Linked DNA regions of Lonchura striata. Each later gene encodes a partner of the first gene's protein in a complex. Links are inferred from orthologs where the notes say so. Each region holds a gene or a part of one and is shown on either strand. Other genes may lie near its edges.

Region 1 (7,767 bases):
CAGATGTCTTAATATTGCTTGATATCAGATCCCTTAAAAGCCCAAAAAATGCACTGAGAACATAGTTCACTTTTCAAAATAGCCAGTCAATCAATCATACTATTTTGTATTTATCTAATTCCTCCTAAATTACACAACCAGGACCACAGGTATGCCTGCAAGTATTTCTCTCTTATTTAAGTATAGCTTAGTACACTTTTAGCAAGAATGCAGCTGGCAGAATGACACAGACATAAAAGCTGCCAGCACTTCAGTTTTAGTGTTATACTACTTCAGTAGCAGAATGCATTCTACTACTTCAGTAATACACCGCTAAACTGGTGTCTAACTCTGCTACTTGAAAGAGCTGCAAACATTTAAAATATTTACAACAGAGGAATAGTGTAGGGTAGGGTTCAAGCAGGAGCTAAAACTTTGTGTCTTATTTAATTGTCTGTTTCATATGTGCAACCAATCAACTGGAAATTGTGCAAAAGATGTTGTATATGGGTACAAAACATAGCTATTTAAAATAATACTGCACAAGAAACAGTACTTTTGACTAGATATGTACAGTCTCCTTGATCTTATTTTTCTTTAGCACACAGACACCACCCAAGAACAGAATTATGTATAATTTAGAACCATAAAAGTCACTGTGTGACTGAACTACATCCAAATAGCACATATTGATTCATAGAGAGTCCTGTTTTTTTTCCTCCAAAAATACCATGCATAATTATTGAGACATTTGCTTTTATCTACTTCCATCAAAACCTCAGTAATTTTTAATGAGGTTTCAAATCTTTGTATTTCTATGGTTTCTGCCTTCAGGATGCTCTCATCTGGACTGAGTCATATCTCGAAGTATTCATTTTTTTCCATTTTTGAAGACCGTAAGAGTAAGACCAGCACCAGGAACCCACAGCTTCTGTCACCCCTCCAAGGACTACAGATAATTTCAACTACTGTCTTATAGTCAACTAAAACCATAATCTAAGTGGAAACTTAAGAATGCATTTCATTTTTTTGTTAAGTGTGACTCTTCTGAAAAAGTCCTCTATAATCACAGAGAGTTTTCGAACAGCGACTTATCACGCTGAATTAGAAAAAAAAAAAGCAGCCTGAGGGAAAGGCTCCCTCTTTGTGCAAGGCAAAGCACAATAGGAGCCTTCTAAATGTCAGCTGACAAATGTGAAAAAGAAGATGTATCAGTTAAATCCTGAAAAGTTTAAATAGCTGTTCTCTAAAAATGTAAGCCACAAAACACAAGTTTTTTTCCTGTACTCCAGCCCCGGTGAGAGGATGCCCTGCAGACTGCACAGCCAACAAAACACCTTCAGGCAGCAACCAGGGGGTCTGCACACCCACAGCAGGCGCCTGCCTCTACCTCCATTTTCACTTTGCACCCAAAATTCATCCTCCTCTGCTTCCAAGAAGCTCCCTCAGTATCTACACGCTCAACAGACACCTTCTCATCTGAGTAACATCTTAGTCTGCCATGCTAAGGCTACTCAGCCCTGACTTACTAATTTTTGCACCACCCCAGCCACAATTCTACGACTTTGCACCCTGACATTAACTCTTCTCCCCAGATCTCTCCAGCAGGGTCAGGATTCACAGAATCATTTAGGTGTGAAAAGACTTCAGAGATCGTCGTCTCCAACCAGGGACCAAATGCCACCTTGTCGACTGGACCATGCCATTGAGCGCCACGTCCACTTTCCTTAAACACCTCTGGGGACAGTGACTCCACCAGCTCCTAGCCGGTCAATTCCAGTATCTAAGCATCCCTTCTGAAAACAAGTTCCTCCTGGTGTCCTACCCGAACCTGCCCAGCACAGCCTGAAGCCATGTCCTCTCTCCTATCGCTGCTTTCCCCGCAGAAGAGACCGACCCCCACCCGGCCACAACCTCCGCTCAGGGAGATGCCAAGAGCAGTAAGGTCCCTCCTTGAGCCTCTTTTCTCCAGGCTAAACACCCCCAGCTCCTCACAGGACATGTGCTCCAGACCCTTCACAAGGAGGAGAGAGCCTGAGGGGGAGGGGTGGAGGGAAGGAAGGATGGGGGACACAAAAAAAAAGATATACAAATAGAGATATAAAAGGAACGAGCAACCCACATGCTGCTGCAGAGGCAGCAGCCTTAGCCTCCTCCTGCTCCTCCCCGCCGGCGCCCTGCCGTGCCCGGGCCGTGAGGGGACGCCGTGCCCGGGCCGTGAAGGGACGCCGCCCCGCAGGCAGAGCCTCCCCTGCTTCCATCCCTCCGTCCCCCTCCCTCGCTCCCTCCGGGGCGGCCGCTAACGGCGCCGCCGCCCCGCCCGCCGCCCAACGCACCCCGCGGGACCGCCCGGCGCAGCCCCACGCGCGACCGGGACCGGGTCATGGACACCGCCAAGCGCGGAGCATGGCCATGGCTTCCTCCTCCTCCTCCTCCTCCCCGCCGCCTCCCACAATGCACCCTGGGCGCTCCCCGCGGAAGCCACTTCCTCGCCCCAAAGCCGCCCCGCCGCTCCCCCCGTCCCCACTCACATCCGTCGATCTCCTCCTGCAGGTCCTCCTGGAGCAGCGACAGATCTGCGGTGGGGGAGACACACACACGCGCGCACCATGTGCCAGTGCTCCCGCCGACCCTCGGTGCCACGCGTGACCCTGCCCCGCCCGCGGCTGCGCCCCCCCCCCACCCCGAGCGACCCGCCCCGCAGCCCCTGCGCTCCGAGCCCGGACAGCGGCGGGCAGCGCTCCCGAAGCCGGGGCGGGGGAGAGGAGAAGGAGGGGGATAGAGGAGGGAGGGCTGGCGCCTCGCCGGGGAGGCGGCGTGTGCGGGAAGGGGGAGGGGGGCGATGCCTACCCGCCATCTTGCTGCTGCAGCCCCCGCGGGGCGCCCGGCTACATCCAGCCCGCGGCCGGGCGGTGGGAGCGGCGGTGGGAGAGGGCGGGCACCCGTGCTGTCCAGGCCCTGGGCCCGGAGGCGCCTCTCCGCGTCCCCGGGAGAGCCGCGCACGGAGGGAGGGAGGGAGGGAGAGAGGAGGGAGCGGGCGGAGGAAGGCGGGAGGAGGGGTCTGGGCCGGACACGCTGCCCCCGCCTCCGCCCGGCGGAGCCGCTCTCGCTCGCTGCTCGCTCGGGCGGCCGCGCCTACCCTCGGCGCGCTTGACTCACGGCCGGAGCCGCCCGCGCCGGCCCTGGGGCTGGAGAGCGCCGGGGCTCGGCCACACGGCCCGGCCCGCGCTCACCTGCCCTCCACGCTCCTCCGCCAGTTCGGGGCTCGGGCTCCTCCTGCCGCCCACCGACGGGCTCCGCTGCGCAAAGTTGGTGGGGCCACTTGGAGGAAGGGCCCCGACGGTGCTCCTCGCCCTGGTCACTGTGGGGTCGCTTCCAGACGCGGTGGCGGGGCCGCAGTAGTTCTTGCCGCCGGCGCCTGGGGTTACCTGGGGAGAAGGGTTCCGGGACCTACCAGAGAGCAGAGTGTGGCCAGCAGGTCAGAAAGGTGGTCCTCCTCCTCTGCTTGGCGCTGGTGGGGCCGCATCTGCAGTGCTGTGTCCGGTTCTGGGCTCCTCAGTACAAAGAAGACAAGGAGCTCCTAGAGAGGGTTCCGTGGAGGGCCACAAAGATTATTAAGGGTCTGCAGCCTCTCTCATAGGACAGGCTGCGGGAGCCGGGCAATGTTTAGTCAAAAGAGGATTGAGAGGGGTTCTCATTAATGCATATAACTATCTCAAAAGCAGATGGTAAGAAGATGGTTCTAGACTCTTTTGGGTGGCTCCCAGTAACAGGTTGAGGAGCAATGGCCATAAACTGAAACAAAGAAGTTTCACCTCTGCATGAGGAAGAACTTCACACTGAGGGTGGCAGAGCAGTGGAACAAGCTGTTCAGGGAGGTCATGGAGTCTCCCTCTCTGGAGACATTCAAACCCCACCTGGATGTGTTCCTGCTTCACCTGCTCCAGGTGACCGTGGCTTGGCGGGGGTTTGGACCAGATGGTCTCCAGAGGTCCTTTCCAACCCTAATGCTTCTGTGACAGGCAGCTGTGCCACCACCACTGCGTAGCCCACGAGCATCCTTCTCATGTGAATTGCCAAGTTTCTGCAGCTGGGATCCCATGGCTTGAACACCCAGGATATTGCCCCACTGCAGCACTGTGCCTTCCGACTTCTGCTTTAAAAACAGGCAGTTTAGTTGTACATAGACACAAAGGTGCACATGCCTTTCTGCTTTTTTGGCTGTACCTTTTGGTCACTGCTGATGGTTCTCATTCAACTGTTTTAATAGATTTTTCCACACTGTAAATTGGATGAAATAAACGCTCTATTCAGTTGATAACCTGGGCATTTGATAGAGGAAAGGACCATTACTGGTACCAGTGCTATGTGGGCATATTACCTGAGTCTTCCACAGTCTTGTTTTGAACCTCCATAATAACTGATGAAGTTGTTAATACACAAAAAGCAAAAATAAAGAAAAGCAAAATAATTTTTTTTGCTTGCAAAAAAAGATGCAATATCATTAGCACTATTTTTAACTGTGTGTTTGATAGTATGTCTTGTAAGCTGCTTTTTAACAATTTTTTGTTTTATTTGGTGAATTGTACAAGGATTAAATCTCCATAGTCATTCATTCTCTTTGCCATGGTGAATGAAAATGTGTAATCTTCTTTTAAAATCCATACATCTCTTTCCTTACAATCCTGTAGAATAAGCTCTGTCCTATTTGACACCTGTTCAATCTTTGGATGAGCCACTAGGACCTACTGGATACTGATTATCTAACATTTTCTTTTGTTCAGATATATAACCTCAAAATACTGAGTAAATCAAGTAAATTCACCGTGACTAAGTTATATGAACCATGCTATTCTCTGCCAGTGTAATTTAAGAAGGGATTCAGGAGAAATATTTGACATCACAAATCTCTGGCAATGCTAGGTAAGATAGCAGTAGACTTAAAACAGAAAAGTAGACTTAAAACAGAAGGTGTACTTCAAGACATAATTTTATTATCTTTGTAACTGCAAGTTATTTCCAGGAAGTTTTCTCACATCTCCTCTGCATCGTTCACTACAATCAGTTTTGCTCCCACTGAATTCAGTAGAAGTGAATCTAAGAATCTCTCTCACAACTATAATTTGATGCACTTCATTTTACTGAATGAATCAAGGGGGTCTGACTCCTTTTTCTAACCATTTAGGAAAAGGCACTAATGCTCACAAGCCATAGATTACTGTGATCTGAGAGCATCAAAGTTACCTTAAGCATTATTAGAGTTATTATCATAAGGAAAACTTAATGAGATACATCTGTGAGCACTGGGTTTACAATGACCAGAATTTCTGCTCTTAAAATGTATTAATAGTGTTAATTATCATCAATTAATTACTGCTCCATATATAATACTCTAGAGTATTTAGGATTTTTTTTAATTTCTATGTATTTGTTTAAAGAGAGGATGTATAATTTATTGAATAAAGCAATGACAGTTGCAAGCAGTCATACTGAACATAAGATCACACAAATTACTTTTAAATTACTTCCTATGTGCTTGTGATCTTCAGTGGTCATTGGTTCTTTCTCTGTCGGCAGGACCATGTGGTATTTAAATAGCGCAGATAACAAGGATCAGTGTGCTACAGATTATAATTGTCCGGGAATTGCAGGGGATTTTGTGCTTGGTGTTACCTCTACAGCATTAGACTTTGCTCCTCAGGCACAGCACCATCACTAGGAGCCATCAGGATAGGTCTCTCCCTCTGTGAGTAGGAACTCTGTCAAAACCTTTGGCTCATACAGTCACAACACTCATGGTGGGGGAAAATAATTTAATTAAAACAAGAAAAAAAAAAGTCTTAGCACCAAGACGCAATGAACATTCCCATTTAATAAATAAGTAACCAGGTTCTTCTAAACTTGTCCTCAGTAAATCCAGAGGTACTTCTTCAAGGGCCTGATCCAAAGTTCAAGTTGATGGTAAGATTCCCTGCCACTGGTCACAGATGAGGCAGACAGAGAGCCTTGTAAGTGTAGGACACATTCTGGCTCTTGCAGATGAGGGGTCATTCCAAACCAGCACACATAATTATGGAAAAAATTTTTCATGACAGCTTTGTTTTCTTAGACGAGACCTGTTAAGGAGCACATAATATAGTACCTACCAAAACGTTCCAGCAGACTTTGCTGGAGTTCTTATAGTCAGCTTAAGTACCCTTACAGGCACTGGGAAGTAAAGAACTGAAGAATGATAAATTCACATTCTCACACTCTATCTCAAGGAAAAACCACACTACAAACACTACACCACTGCTTCAAGCTAGGGATGGAAGGATACAAATGGAAGACTCCTTGACAAGATCCTTTGCACATGATAAAAGACACCTGTATTGTTATCTCCAGGATGTATCTCAAAAAAGTCCATAGCAATCAGCAAGACATTTCCATAAAGTGTAGTATTTACATAAAGTACTATATAAATCCTTTCATACTTGCACATTGTACACAAGATACCCGACATCCACCTAGACATACTTGCAGTAAGTTATTCTATAGTTTGATTGGTGACATCTTTTCATTTAAAACTGTTCTAAGGACCTCAGGCTCAAAAACACTGCTCCACATGGAACTCACCCATGTTATTTTATTTATTATCTAAGGTATTATCTATTTTTGTTCATTTGCTTGAAGAAGCAGGTCTGATCAGATAGTGTCAGCTTTCAGTGTCCATGTATTAACTTGCTTTGCATTTCTCCCAGGCTACCTTCATGTGTGGGAAGAGCTTCCCATAAATATCTGCAGACATCTCTCCATCCTCCTTTGGATTTCTCTGTGAAACTCTTTTCCTGTGAAGCCTATCAAGAAATGGATCAGGGTTAGACTGCTGGTGCACCAAGGCAGCTGCTTATCCTCTTGAGTAATCCTGACTCATTGTCTTCTTGGCCACCCCCAGGATTCCATCTGCCTGCATGTGTTGTCCTTGATGGTTCAACCATTCCCTCTTTGCTTTCTGGACTGCCATTTTGTTCTTTACAGAGTGTTTGACCAAATTTGGCCCATAAGTAAATATACAGCTTAAGATACATATACATACAGAAGCACACACATAACTTTAATATGTATGGAAGCATGTGAAAACCCAGTGGCTGAAGTCTGGCATTTACAGTCAATATGCATTTGAAAATATACTAAAGCATTTCTGCTAAAAAGAGGTGTTCACCAGGAAACGTTTCCTTTCTTCTCCTTTCCCTTTTCCTTCTCTTTTCCCCTTCCCTTCCCTTTCCTACTCTTGTTCTTTTTTCCCTCTCCAATAAAAATACTGGAGGGGGTGGAGTTTTGTTTGGTTTGGGTTGGGTTTTTTTATATATCTGTATTTCTTATGGTTACAAAACTTTTTAACTGCATCACTCAGTTTTTTGGTTTTTTTTTTTTGTTTGGTTTTTTTTTTGTTTTTTTTTTTAATTTTTGCTGTTTCCTGGGCAAGAGTTTGAGCTGGTGACTACTGGCAAACCTGGTGACTTTAGCATTAAAGTTCTGCTACCACTGCTCTCAGATAAGGCCTTGCAGAAGGATTTTAAACACACAATATGCCAACCATTAATAAATTAACACCTAAATTTGCTGCGAAAGAGCCTGGTTAATATAAAGTTTGTCTTGTGGGTTCCTAATATCATTCCAGGTCAGCATCAAATTCTGTGGCAAGTTCAGTGATGATCAAACCTCTTAAAACTAGGAAATACCCACCTAGTGCGAAAATAAGGCTGCACCTGGAGCTTGCCGGGGCTCTTGGCATTAATTTACAAGCAA
Region 2 (7,086 bases), on another chromosome or scaffold:
AACCATGAGGACACCAGAATTATAGAATGTGGCATTAAAGCTACTTTTATTCCTGATGTTACATTCTTCCACAGTGTGCTAGTTTACAATCTGTCCAAAAAGCATATTATAGGATCTTACAGACCCAGAGCAGTATCAGAAGTTTGTGTTTGGTTGCTTGTTTATTATGCAGCCTTGCTTCTTTCAGAGCTGCCTTACTATTTATTCCCATAGATGTGACCCTGTGTTTGGCTGTATCCGAAAGGTCCTGTTAGGACCACAGCCTGACTGCCTGAGCTGCTTATCCATCAGGTCTTGAACAATCACTATTTACAGCTCAAAATTTTATGTGAAAGTGTCATTGCTTGCCTTAAATTACTGGGAGGCACTGATGAGCTCACAAACATTTGTAAAGCTGGAATAAGCCGGAAACAGCTGTCAGTAACCTTCCCAGCTGTCCCAGGCTAGGATATTCTTTCTACATCAGCACCTTCAGGAAGTGAAGCTTTCTGTTTCTGACCCTTATAGCCTCATCCATTTCTTGCCATTCTTCCAGGCTCTCTGAGTCATACACAGCTTTTATGCACAGAGATTTTACATTGACTTTCCAAACATTAAAAGAAATCCTAACTACCATCAGTCCTGCTCTTGATTTCTCACAATCATCTAGGATCATCTCCACAGATCAATAATTCCTTTTGAGCTATACCAGTCACCTCAAATGTGACCCATGCAATGTGAGCTTTCTTCACAGAATACAATTTTAACTTTCCAGAAAAATACCTGAGAACTATCCATGTATATCTGCTCCATTACGCTTATGAGCAACATTGTAATTTAACAATAAATTAAATTTTTCTTGCTAAAGCCACATCAGCTGCTACTGCTATAAGCCCATCTTTATTGCATTCTGTGTGAGCATTTATTGTCTGTGACTGATGTCAGATAAATCAGCCTACTATTACCTGGGTTCTCACTTGTTCAGTTTGAATACTAATAGTCAGTCTTCATGTCTTCCAGAATTTCTGCAATAATTTAAGCTTTATTAAAAGTTAATAATGTTTCATACTTCCTGAGATCACACACACAAGCCTCTTTAGGACTCTCAAATTCAAGTTTTTTAGGACTTGTATACTTGAATAAGTTTCTCTCTAAGAGAAATTGTTTAATATCCCTCTAAATAATGACTAGGAAAGAACTTAGTCATCATTGTATGATACAAATATATTGCACATTCTTTCAAGTATAAAATTTATTTATTAAACAATTCCATTTTTTTGGTAGCAATATCAACATTTTTAAAATCTTGATATAACAGGCCTATAAGAGTGTTAAGATTTAGGAAACATGAGCTGTTCCTAAAACTACCAACCATGCAAATTTATTGAAATCCTTATCCATTTTTTCTGTGCTTCATAACTTGTAATGATTGCTAGGTTTGCTTTTTGTCTACTGTATGTATTTATTTTAAACTGCTTTGTTTTCTTCCCCACTAAACTAGAAATATATTTTTTCTGAATCTCCCCTCTTCTTGATCACAATATTCTGACTCCTGTACAGACATCTTCTTTATAGCCTCCCCCTATTATGATAATTTTTCCATTTAATTTTTTCTTTGCACTCAGTCATTCATTTTCCACAGGTTTTTGGGGCACAAGTCAGAATACATGCCTTGGGAACAAGAAGACATAGAGAGTGTCTGCGTGTGTGTAGTATGGATTGTAACCTTGTTTGCACATACTGAGTATAGCCAGATCTATATACTCAAGCAAGTACAGACTTTCATTCTAGCAATAATCTTCACCATAATAAAGTATATAATAATAAAGTATGAATTATACTTTATTTATACTCTATTTATACATAATAAAGTATGAAGTTGTTAGTTTCCCTAACATTTTTTTTTCTTTTAGAAAATAGTTAGCTAAGAGTTTTAGGAACTCTAATAATGCCTTAGTATATAGAACCAAATTTATATGTGTGACCTGAAGTTATTCACAATAACAATGCAATTTTCTTTCCCAAAATTATTACTAGACACTGAAAAAAAAAGTTATCTTGTTCTTTATTCTTGACTGCTGTGCAAGAATATGGTAATCCCATATTTACTATGGTAAACCCAGTTTAGGCTTATTCCTATTGCATTGATCTATGTATAGTTACTTTCCTAGGAATATGAAAGTTTAAAACAGTATTCAACATTCCATTTCATCATTTATTACTTGGTTCCTGATGGGCAAAAGTTTCTGTCAGGGCTAGGTCCTTTATTATTTCTGGGAACTAAAAAGGTTAAACATTTAAACTCAGTGTTAATAACAGCCTCTCCTCATGCCTGAAGATATTTCCTTCTAGACACAAACTTTCAAACGAGTAGAAATGGAGAGAAGGCATTGAGGTGTGACCTGACAGACTTGCTTTCAAACTCATTATTCCAAGAAAAATAAACAGAATGTTTCTTTCTTTCCCAGCTAATTTCCAGCATGGGAAGTTGCTCTCAATGCCCAACCTTTTTTTCTGGAATGACTGGGGTAGAAATGTTAGGAAAAATAAAACTCCCTTGCCAAATATAATGAGAACTGGGTTAAAACCTGACAAGTAGGCACTATTGTCGGATCGAGCATTGTTCAGTTGTTCAAGATAACTCAAGGCCCATTAAAAGAAGCTGAGCCCAAAATTTGCATTAAGCAAACCATGCAAACTGAAATCTGATTAAGTTCTTGTTTTCAATTCACAAAAAAACAAAAAATTAAAAAAAAAAACTGCAGTGAGCAGTGCGGTCTTTACTTAATCTGATGGCCACAAGAGGGTACAATTTGTAAATGGTACGTTAATATAACAGTCCTACAAGAGTTTTCTCTAAGTGACATCAATCTTTTCTGAAGTCACAAAAATCCATCTCCAGGTTGGCCTGAGGGAGATTTTGGCACAGCACCTGCCCAGATACAGCTCCTTGAGAGCTGCCCAGGAACAGCCCCTCAGGAGCTGCCCAGGCCTGTGCGCGTGCTGTGCGGTGCTCCCCTTCAGCCAGGCCCACAAGCCACAGCTCCCGGACACCTGAATCTCTTCAAACCTGTCGCTGCTTTGGCCAAGAACACCGCGCTGAGAACAAGCACAGCGCGCCTTCAGCGATGTCCTTAGGCACCCAAACAACCCTCTCAAAGGTTCTTGTATTCTTAACCAGCCCTTGGGCATCAGAGCAAAGGCCAAATGGCTGTGTCTGGGCACTTCAGGAACCACAGAATATTCTGATTTGGAAGGGACCCATCAGGATCATCAAATCCAAGTCCTGGCCCTGCACAGGCCACCCCAAGAGCCACAGCATGTGCCTGAGAGCATTGTCCAACGCTCAAGCTCTGCCAGGCTGCTGCTGTGACCCTGGGATCTTGCTCAGGAAGCTGCCTATCAATCCTGCTGGCATTGTCTTTCAACAGGCCAAGCAAAATAGAAGATGGACAAAGGAAAACAGGACTTGACTAGAGGATTCCTTGTGATACATAATTAATCCTGGTGAAAGCTGCAAATGTGTTGTTTGGGCTCAAACCACCCTCAATACAACTCACTTTGATAAACGAGTATCAGGACTTACTCAAAGGCATAAAATAATAGAGTACATATTGCAGTGAGCTCCCATGTACAGTGACTATCTATAAGGTAGTGTGAAATGGACTCTTCTGCAGTGGCGCTGCCGGGTCCCAAATGCACCAGCGTTTTCACATATTTTAGGGAAATCTGTCAAACATATGCTCAGATATTGGCAGCAGCCGTCAAGCCTCGACAGCTTCTGATATTGGAATTCTTTTATCCCATCTATGACTGCGGAGATCCAACAGATATTCACCAAAAGCCGTTTAACTTTGGGATCACTCGGCAAGATGTGACAGGAGAGAAAAAAAAAAAAAAAAAAAAAAAAAAAAAAAAAAAAAAAAAAAAAAAGTCTAAGAAAACGTCAACTCCGGGGCCCGCCGCGCCAGCCCCGGACCCGCGGTAACGGCGCTGCCACGGCCGCATGCGCGTCCTCCGCGCGGGGCCGCTGGCCCTTTAAATGCCGGCGGGCGGCCCGTGCTGCCGCTGGCTGGGAGACCCCGCGCCTCCAGTGAGAGGTGAAACCAAGATGGCGGCCGCGCACTGACTGAGGCGGAGCCGGAGGGAGCCGGGCCGCACCAGCCGCTGCCGATCGCCCCCTCCCTCCGCAGGGCACAGCGTTTCTCTGCTGGCCGGGCCGCCGAACGCCTGGAAGCGCAGCCACATCTCAAGGCGCGCTGGGGAGTCGGGACTGAGCCGCCGCAGCACCAGGAGGAGGAGGAGGAGGAGGAAGAAGAACATGGCGGCGGAGTCAGGCTGGGAGTGAAGCCGCCGCCTGCGACCGGAGCCCATGGGGAAGACGGGGCGCTGAGCTCGGCTGGCCGTTCACCCTGTCCCCGGACGGGCAGTGTCCGCAGGCCCGGGCAGCCCGGGCGGGAAGGAGGGCGGCTCCTTGGAGCCCCGCGCTGACGGACGGCGAGCGAGGGGCTTCGGGCCTGGGCTGCTGCTGCACAATAGAGCCGGGCTACAGGCCGGGGCGAGCGGCCCCGCTCCCGGCTGCGTCCCTTCCTCTGATTCCCTCCGGCCTCACCAGCTTCCCCCCTGTTTTCCTCGGCAGGGCTCCGGCTTCCAGGAGCGCCTGCTCCTGTCACGCTGGGCCGGCTGCAGCCCGCCGCCGCTTCCACTACCGTGGATCCCCTTCTCCTCCGGAGTCCCTCCTTCGCCGCCTCTCCTGCCTGCCCTTCGCCCTGCAAAGAGCCTCTCTCCTCTCTGCGGCTCTCCCTGCCTAGGTTTACTCGCCTTTTGTGCAGCGCCTGACTGTACCTGAAGGAGCAGCTCCCCTTTTCACATCTTCACCTCTTGTTTCTCCCTCTTCCCCAATCCTCTTGTTACCCTCGATAATGAGGATCCCGTTGGGGCACTGAAGAGGAGTAAGAAGAGCTTGCTTGGCGTGCCCGTGTGGGGCTGCTGCCTTCTTTTCCGCTCGCCTCCCCTGAGGGGGGCCTGGCCCCCGAGCAGCCTTGTGCTCCTCCAGCGGTTGCCAGCCAGAGTGGTGGCTGCGGTGCGGCAGGCGGCAGGATGACGGACACCCGGCGGAGGGTGAAGGTGTACACGCTAAATGAGGACCGCCAGTGGGATGATCGAGGCACGGGGCATGTGTCCTCTTGCTACGTGGAGAGGCTCAAGGGCATGTCCCTGCTAGTCAGGGCAGAGAGTGATGGTAAGTGTACGGCTGAAGGTACAGTCTTTCCTCGTCCTGCCCAGGAAAGGAACTGGGTGTAGCTTTGTGTTTGTAGCGTTAATGTTTTGCTGCATAATTCAAATGGTATTCCTAAAAGCAGGCAGGCACTAACCAGGGTTCATTCGTGCTAGGCCAAGTGAAAGAAACAGGAGATTGCCATCAAGTGTAAGCATAGTAGGCACTTAGTGCGTACACAGTGTTGCATGCAAAATGCGTTCGAGTCTCCTTGTAAATCTTGCATGGGTTTGGATATCTACTGGTCTGGTTTCAAAACTGATCCCTGGATCTTGCTGGAAGTGATCCTCTCATGAAAGTTGTTCAAAACTTAGATCTTGGGTTTTAGTATTTGTTTTTAAAAGATCGTTGGATGGCTAATACCCTTTTGTGTCCACTTGCCCTTTTGGTAGCTTTTAGAATTATGTAAGACATTCTAACAGCTATCAACGGTTTTCAAAGTACAGTTATGGTAGTAAAGGCAATACAAGGGGCAGAACAGCATTTTCAGTGATGCCTTTTTTTTTTTTTTTAATGGGATGGGAGTACTCAGTCCTTCAGCAATTGGTTTCTGGTAGCATATGTCAGGAGTATATGTTAAGAGTAATATAGCCCTGTAGCTACATGTTTGGGCTAGTCTTGACTATTGGTTAAGTGAGTTCATGACTGCTGTGATCAGAGATTTAGAATGTGTACTTCACAGTATCAGCCTTGTACCGTTTTGCTTTTGAAGTCTGTCAATGCATGACTTACTACTTCATTAGATGTATAGCTACTGTATTTAGTGACATGTAGATCTAGTTATGCTTTTGACTGTCAACAGACCTTGTAATTTTATTTATTAAGCTTTTTTATTGTAGGAAGTCGGATGAGAAGCAACTTGAGAATCATTAATCCTTACTTTTTGGGAAAGTTCTGATAAACTGTACAATATGTAATGCTTACAGCAAAGATCATAAACTGATATGGAAAAATCAGTCATCTAAGCAGGATTTTGATAATTGGGTGTCTGATAAGCTCTCGGATCTCACAGATTTTTGATTATACTTTAACAGGTTACACTGGCACCTGATTTTTATTTATTTTACAGCAAGGAAGATACATTTAAATCTTGAGCAGCTTCATATAGCAAGAGAAAGCATTCAAAATGGAAATAAATTTAATTTAATTTCAACATGTGGAGGGAATTAAAAAATTTATCACTAATTTTCTTTGCTAATTTTTACAGTATGTGTTGTTGTAGATACTGTCCTGGCTGTTGGGGACATGTTTAAAAACTGTTCTCTCCTATATATTAAAAATTTTCTGTTTTTTAAAAAAAATTTTAAAAATTCTTTTTTAGAAAAGAAATCGAAAGACCTGCAGCTCCTAACCTCCTTGTAAAGAAATAGCTAATTTGAACTAAAATCCATTTATTAACTTTTAGTGGGATATGTGTGCTTCAGTCTCATTAAAACCTGAGTTGCACTGTTGGTGCCAGCTCTCTTGTAAATAAATGAGCATCTGTAAGAGGGAAGATACAGACTGGTACTAAAAACTAAAATTAAGTCATTGCTTTAGCTGGCATAGCTAAGATACTCTAATCAAAGCAGGAAATGTCTCAAACTTACTAATTGCACCAAATACACAGATATTTATTTGGTAGGATATACACTTTAGACCTCTCTCTACTGCATACTTTCTACTTCAAAGTATTGAATAATACAGTTAAAATTCTTTATATAGTAGGTAATATCAGTCCTGAGTAAATGTCCACTCTAGTAATAGGCTAGCTTTTCTAACTTGCTTGTGTAGACACCTCATAAAATTTGATTTATATTTTGTTTACTCCCACTGTTGTTTGTGGGCTA
Region 3 (7,329 bases), on another chromosome or scaffold:
CTTTGCTAGAATTTCTACATGTCCTCACAAGAATCTGAAGGTGGATGGTAGTAAATCATATTTATAAAATAGATACTTATTTATGCTTAAAGGTGATGTAGAACGTCAAGGCCTTCAAGTTGATTAAAAACTTGAAAATAAAACCAGGAGCAAGCAGTGCCCTCATCTTGTGTAGCAAGGTTGAGATGAGAATACAAGAACATGGAATTCTGTAGACTGAGAAGATATTTCAGTGCTAAAGGTTATTCTCCTTTGAGTTATCCACTCAAAACTGTGAATATGAGAAGTAAGAACTGAACAACTCTTCTGTGGGAGAAAGAATTATCCTGTATGCTTGGTCAAGAGTCACACTTGGCCAAAGTTTTATTGGCTTTTCAGTGCACAAGAATGTTGAGCAAGTCATAAAGACTTAGAAGTGTCACCTTTAACATGATGGACTCTGTTTTAGATTAATACATCACTCTTAAAATGTTCAGACCTGTAGCAGAATATATCTCAGCATATGTGAGCAGAACTTGGCTGAAACATCACCCCTTATCACCTGGGTTCATTAGCACTGACTTTTAAAATGCATAATTAAAACATTAAAATTAAAATACTTTTTTTGGAATGAACAATTATGTGATAAATCTTTCCCTGAAACACTCTCATTAAGAATTTCTTAGTCCTATTAATTACATTGCATCAGTGAGTTCACTGATTTATTTTAGACTTCAAAACATTTCCCAGGGGCTCATGAGAGTGACTCGTTTTTCTACTGTGAGGTACAGACTTTGAAAATCAAACAGGGTCCTTCTGATGTTCACCAATTTGTATGCAGGACTAATAAAATCAACTTCCCACCTGGTGGCAGGTGGGCTCTGAACCACCTGAAAGAAAAAATAAAGCATGGGGGAGAGAAGTGGGAATGTACAGTAAAAAATTACTCCTTTTTTAATTCTAACTTAAATATTAAAGAAAGAAATTACTGGTATGCTGCTCTGTAGTTGTTCCTGTCTTTCATGATGTAAGATTGAAAAATAGAAAAAGTTTGGAAAGATTGACGAAAGATTTCTTTGGCAATCTTTTCTTCCTCTTTGAAGGCTGTGTCTTATTATTTCTTAGTAAGAATTCAGATGTCACTTCTTACTGTGACAGTTGACTGATACATGATTGTTACATATGAATAGTGTTAATAAAATTATGTAGGTCAATGTTAAAGTCCCTGAACAGAAACTCAGATGTTGCCATTTCTGGTGACTCTTCCCAGAAATGGACCTCCCCAATCTAAGTGGATTTCCAAGGTTTATCTCCCCTTATTGTAGACTAATTTCTGAGAGGCTGTGTTGTGGAGCTGGTCTCAGTAAAGCAGCTACTGCAGTGCTGGGGCATTGTCTGTTTGGTGGATGATGATAAAGGAGCAAAATTACCTTAATGTTGCTGTGGCAGAACCTGTACAGTCAGCCTGACTTTCTGCATCTGGAACCAGCTTTAGGCCCTGTGGGAAGGGGCGGGGGAAGAGCACACTTGGGAGCTGGCTGGGAGGAGCAGAAAGCAGCTGCTCTTACCTGAGGAGAGAAGCTCAATGGCAGCCAAGAGTTGAGTAAGCGTGTGCTGCTCTGACCCTTCCTGGAGGGAAGGACATCCCAGGCTCTCCTAGAGCCGGTGCAGGGCCGTGGCAGGAGGAGCTTGACTCTCAGGTGGGATCAGCTATGATCAGAAACCAGGTGAGTCCAGAGTGCTCAAGAGAACAAGCTCAGTGATTTATTTCTTCTTTCTTACTGCTCAACATAATTAGCTTCTGTAATGACCTGTCTTAAATGGAGCCATTGAGAGAAATTGCCTTGGAGAGAAGCTGGGCAGGTGCAGCATTGCAACAGCTCAGGAGGGCCAGAAATGCCTTTTATTTGACAAGTCTGAAATTTTCGTGCAAGTGCAAAGAGTCAGGAGCTGGTGTGTCTTCAAATGTCAACAATATATATTACAAGTACTATCATAAAAGTGTAAGAGCTGGCCTAATTGTACTTCTGGGATCACCTGCCAGAGGGAATGATACAGTCTCTTAATTTCACTCTAAGAAATTTTAAATTATTTAGGAATTAATTGCCCATCTTGCTTGGGAAAACAAAAAAAGGCATTCCACAGCTCATGTAGTGACACTTGTGAGTTGCTCTGTCTTCTGTCCACCCTAACGAAATCCTTTGCTTTGATGAAGAACAGAGAATTCTCAGCATTGATAACTTGATGGTGGTAATGGGGATGATGAGCTGCTGGCAGGTGCACTGTGGAAAATGTTGCTTTGCTTTGTCTTAAAGAGCAGAGGCTTGGATGCTTTCCTGGTCTTAGCCTGGGTTTAAATGCAGTATGTAACATTTGTTGGGGCAAGTATTGCATGTTTTGTCCAGGAAAGGCCCCCAGAATTGACTTGCTGGTTCTGGGTACCAATGGCAGGGTCATCCTGGGCTTTACAACCCCCTGGATGCTGTTTTGGGTAGAGAGAAGCCCCACATCTGAGTGAGCACAATCCCAATGACTTCTGGAGTGATATTTTCCACAGAAGTCATTGAATTCATGCCTGGAGAGATCATAGATTTATTTCACAGCTGAAGTGTAAGAAATAGTTTTTCATGCTAGTTCTGATGCGCATACCTCCTTTCTGTAATTCACCATAAGAATTTGCTCCAAAATACTATGCTGTGGTTTCTTGCTGTTTTATATATCCCGAGAAGTGCTGCATTTAGTCATTAGTAGGAGTCATGCTTTTATTTTTGTGCATTTGATTTGAAGAGCCAAAAAGCACGCACAGAAGTCATGCAGAGGGGAGAGGGAGTTCATGAGCAGCAGATGTCCTGAGGCAGAAATATGTTGTGGTCATTGGGGTTTGTGTTCCTATTTGTGTGTTTGCTTTTTATTGAGCTTTCTCCAAGGTAGAAATATGCTCAGTTTGTAATGCCTTGTGAGGAAGGCTTGTGTGGAACCTGACTGTAAACTGGTTCATGTGACTCTCAGTCCAGGATTTTGAAACCACTTAACACGGTCTTTTTATAGTTACTGACTCACTTACCCATAATGATGCACATGTCCCAAGGTGTGCTCCTATACAGCTAAACATAAATGTATATTAAAATTCTAAGAGTTGTATCTTGTATTTTCTTGGTGACTGCTACAATGAACATCAGAGCAAAAGCTGAGACTTGAATGTTACTTAGATGTTAAGTTTTTTTAATCTGCCCAGAGAATGTTTGGAAAAGCTGCAGGTAGTTACTTTGAGGACATAGTTTGGGAAGCACTTTCTTTCGCTTGCTTTGGAGCCACATTTGAATTTGAGAGCATAGAAATGCCAGTCGTGTGAATAAGGGCCATACCGGTGTAACTGCTTTCACCGTGAGGCAAGAGCCAGGAAAGTCTGACTTTGTCTGGGAATGAGGCACACCCTGCCCTCAGGAGAACTTGTCCTCCCTCCTTCCTCTTCAGAGCTTCAAGAATTTGGTTTGGAGACACACTCAAGCTTCCCCTTGTCCCCAGTTTCTCACTGTTTCACACAGCTTTACTCCTTGAAAACTTTTGGGTCGTTTTTCCTTATTCCCACGCAAGCACGGAGATGTAATTATTTATTTGTTGTACAGAGGAAACGTGTAGATGGTTTTTAGTGTGAAAAACTTAACAGGTACGGACTCCGCGATGCTTGGCAAGTGGTCTGTGTTAAACTGTATGCTGTGTATAAGAGCTAATTAAGCACGTTTCTCTCATTTTTGAAGATTCCCCAGCAGTTTAGCTTTCAAGCCTTCTGTGGAGATGTACCAAGCAGGCACAGACAGCGTGTTACAGTATGGCTGCTGCTGTAAGGAGTTGCTGCTCACTAACTTTTTGCCGTTTTGTGATGCAGGGGACACCTTTTGTTCCTAAAAATTGAAACTGTTTCAGTTCTGTGTGCTGTTTAAATTTACCCTGGTCGGGTATGGAGCGCGCCCGTCATTTTGTGTGACGGCCGTGGGTGGCACTTTCTGTGGCGTGAGGGACGGAGGCGTGTTTCGTCAGCGGTGGCGCCAGCCTTTAGACAGACTTAAAAAAAAGAAAAAGAAAAAAACGAAGAATTTTTTAAAAAAATTAGTTTTTTTCGGGGGAATATGTGAGCAATTCCCCCTTTAGGGCGTTAAAAGGCAAGTGATGCGCCCATATCCCCTGCGGCGGTCGGCAGCCGCCATTTTATCCCCACCTCCCGTTCCCGCCTCGGCGCCTGAAGGAGCGCGCGCGGCCCCGCCCCCGTGGCCGCCGTCCCGTCGGCGGCGCGGCGGCAGCGCGCGGCCGCCGTAGCCCCTGCGAGGGGAACCCGTGCCCGGGCGGGGAGGAAGAGAAAGGCGGCCCGAGCCGGGTTACAAGATGGCGGCGGCGCTGTAGTAGCTGCCGAGGCGGAGCGGCGCCAGCAAGGCCCGGGCCGGGGCGCGGCGGCGCTGACTCGCCATGGGAAGCGGCGCGTTAAAGGCCCCGCGGTGCCTCTGAGCGGCCCGGCGGCCCCGCTTGCTCTCCGCCGCCCTCGCTCCATCGCCCCCGCGGAGGCGGAGCGGGCCCGGGGCTGCACCATGTCGGACACCCGCCGGCGGGTGAAGGTCTACACGCTCAACGAGGATCGGCAATGGGACGACAGGGGCACCGGGCACGTCTCCTCCAGCTACGTGGAGCGGCTGAAGGGGATGTCGCTGCTGGTGCGCGCCGAGTCAGACGGTGAGAGCGTGGCCGGGGCTGCCCAGGCCGCTTCCCCTCGCCCCCCGCCCGGCTCGGGCCCCACCGCCGGGGCTGCCGCCCGCCATCGCCGGGCTCGGCTGATAGTGCCTTCCCTTGGATCACGCACGAGGATTACTGTTGTTGTTGTTATTATTTCTACTCTCCGTGCCTTCCCTTGTCTTGCAGCTCGCGTGAAGTTTCCTTACCACATAAGCCATAGCAGCGTTTGCTACTGTGGTCCTAGACTTTTCCCCTCCCAGTTGATAGAATTATGAGCTGGAAGGGACCCATCAGGATCATCAAAGTCCAGCTCCTGGCCCTGCACAGACCTCCCAACAATCCCACCCTGTGCCTGAGAGGGTTGTTCAGGCGCTTCTGCAGCTCTGGCAGCCTCAGGACCATTTCCTGGGGAGCCTGGGCAGTGCCTGGGCAGTGCCTGACCACCCTCTGGGGGAAGAACCTTTCCTTGATGTCCATCCTAAACCTTCCCTGACTCAGCTCCATGCAGCTCCCCAGCCTGAACAGAGATGAAGCTGTGACATGTGAGGACATTTTGTTCTCTTTCAGAGCAATAGCCTTTGCTTTTGAGGTGTTCTAGTCTTCCATTTCTTACTGCTGTGAAGAAGTTGTTTTGCTGCCCTTTTTCTCCTCAGGAATTCCCTGGTTGTATTCCAGTCGGGTGGCATCCCTTGTGTTTTATTGCACTTTAAAGTCACCTTAAAGGGTCTTTTTTTAGAGCGGGGAGGTATATGCTCCCCACTTTGTCAGCAGACAGGTGCTAATGTGCTAAATAAACCACCTAAGATTAGTATAAATTGCTCTAGAGCTGTTGCCAGGAGACATACACTACTTGCATACACAAGATGAAGTCCCTGCATTTGTAGTAGCTGGATGATTTACCTCTGAAGGGCAGCTGAAGGGAATAAAAGCAAGTGGCCCATGTGGCTTCTCTGGACAAAAGCATTTTTTATGCTGGGCAGCACATTACCTGCTGGAATTTGCATTAGTTGGCCTAAAAGACCACTAAAAAATCTGGTGCTTGCACCAGATTTCAGAAGGAAAAGAGTGCTACAGTGGATTTTGGAATAAACTAGAAGAGAAAAATGTATTTTAATAGGGATCTTCCTGTTGAATTTTGTCTTATCTGGCTTATTTTAGGAAATTATATTTAAAGGAGGTGGTTCTTACGGATTTTCTGTGAGATTTGGATTAAGCTGAGAGTCTGTTGGCTGGCACGTGGGCATTGGTGCGAGGTGTGTGGAGATGTTTGTTTTGTTGGATTCAGTAAATCTCTCTTCGTACCTTTTTCAGGTTCACTACTGTTAGAATCGAAGATAAATCCAAATACTGCATATCAAAAACAGCAGGCAAGTATTGCTAGGCTTTACTTTCTCTGGTTGCTGATGCTGAGGAATTGTTTTGTGCTCAGAGTAATTGCATTTTTTCAGGAAAAAAGGAAAAGCAGGAGGACATGCAATTGTTGATGGTAAAAAAATTGCTTAGAAGCCTGTCGGTGCTGAACACTTCACATTCTAGAAATTAATATGTGTGTCTTCTAGAAAAATACTTTTTGGACTTCAGACTTTGAAGATAATATATGCAATTTGAAGAGACATTGAAATCATTACAGGAAAGATAGTTGGAAACATGTATGTATAACTTTTGTCTCCCATGCCAGGCCTGAAATAATTAAAATTATCTGAAATAATTAAAATTAGGGAGGCAAAACTTTGACCAGCTCTGTTGAAGTGTATTTATTTATTGATTGAGTTATTTTTCTGGAAATAACATGAAGGAATTTGTCTTTGTGGGATTTCTTTCTTTGTTGTTGCTGTTTAGTTTTTATTTGAAGCCCTGAAAGCTCCTGTTGTCCTAGGTAAGGCCACAAGCCATGGTGAAAGTTACCTTTCCTAGGGGTAAACCTCCTGCAAGACAATGAAGTAAAATAGTTGAGAGCTGTGTTGATAAGTTATTTTTGTTTCATCCATTGAAAAAAAATCAGCTTACTGAATCTCTTCTGCTTTTATTGTTTTCCCTTTTTCAGCATGCATTTTTGATGGCTCTGCCTGCATTGTTCTCATGGGTTTTCTGGAATTTTTTCTCACTGTTTCTTTGCTCTACAGTAGAGTCTCAGTTCCTTCAGTGTTTGATACTTGTTCTTCATCGTTATGGTATCCAGAAGTGTTTCAGCACTGTAAAAAACAGTAATTTTGTTCTTCCCAAGTCACAGAGGGACACATCTCTGAGGATTTTGTTATAGTGACAAGTTACAGTGTAAGAATTTGAGAAAGAGACTTTTTATCTTGTAGACATTGGTTGGCTCATTTTAGGTTAGGCATGAGGTGGAGTTTTGGGCCAGTCTTTCCAGGGGGTGTTTGCTGTGGTTTCTGGTGTTCACTTGTTAGGGGTTGGTAGGTGTAGGCTTTCACTGGGGGGGGTCATGCTAAAGAAGGAGCTCTGCAGAGCTCCAGAAGCCAAGAGTCTTGAACTGCTTCCTGTTTACTAGAGGAAACCTATACACAGTGAAATACAAATGCAGATTTGTTGCTGTAAAGTTTTAAAATGCTTCCTTTCACACCCTGTTTCCTGAAACTACAACTGATTAATCGTAGGCCTTTTTTACTTAAG

The links.
Region 2: PPP4R1 (region 1) and PPP4R3A share a complex: the UniProt entries of both Homo sapiens proteins name them as parts of the PP4 complex. The link is inferred for Lonchura striata from reciprocal best matches to the Homo sapiens genes PPP4R1 and PPP4R3A.
Region 3: PPP4R1 (region 1) and PPP4R3B share a complex: the UniProt entries of both Homo sapiens proteins name them as parts of the PP4 complex. The link is inferred for Lonchura striata from reciprocal best matches to the Homo sapiens genes PPP4R1 and PPP4R3B.

Annotation. Positions count from the first base shown.
Region 1 is NC_134603.1:51,770,922-51,778,688, forward strand, and holds the start of PPP4R1 (serine/threonine-protein phosphatase 4 regulatory subunit 1), read right to left. Parts: upstream 3,002-7,767; 5' UTR 2,837-3,001; coding exon 2,830-2,836; intron 2,556-2,829; coding exon 2,511-2,555; intron 2,416-2,510; exon of another isoform or gene 2,365-2,415; coding exon of another isoform or gene 2,316-2,364; intron 1-2,315. UniProt on the Homo sapiens protein: Regulatory subunit of serine/threonine-protein phosphatase 4. May play a role in regulation of cell division in renal glomeruli. The PPP4C-PPP4R1 PP4 complex may play a role in dephosphorylation and regulation of HDAC3.
Region 2 is NC_134608.1:16,529,695-16,536,780, forward strand, and holds the start of PPP4R3A (serine/threonine-protein phosphatase 4 regulatory subunit 3A), read left to right. Parts: upstream 1-4,068; 5' UTR 4,069-5,079; coding exon 5,080-5,221; intron 5,222-7,086. UniProt on the Homo sapiens protein: Regulatory subunit of serine/threonine-protein phosphatase 4. May regulate the activity of PPP4C at centrosomal microtubule organizing centers.
Region 3 is NC_134605.1:27,037,267-27,044,595, forward strand, and holds the start of PPP4R3B (serine/threonine-protein phosphatase 4 regulatory subunit 3B), read left to right. Parts: upstream 1-4,311; 5' UTR 4,312-4,559; coding exon 4,560-4,701; intron 4,702-6,012; coding exon 6,013-6,068; intron 6,069-7,329. UniProt on the Homo sapiens protein: Regulatory subunit of serine/threonine-protein phosphatase 4 (PP4). May regulate the activity of PPP4C at centrosomal microtubule organizing centers.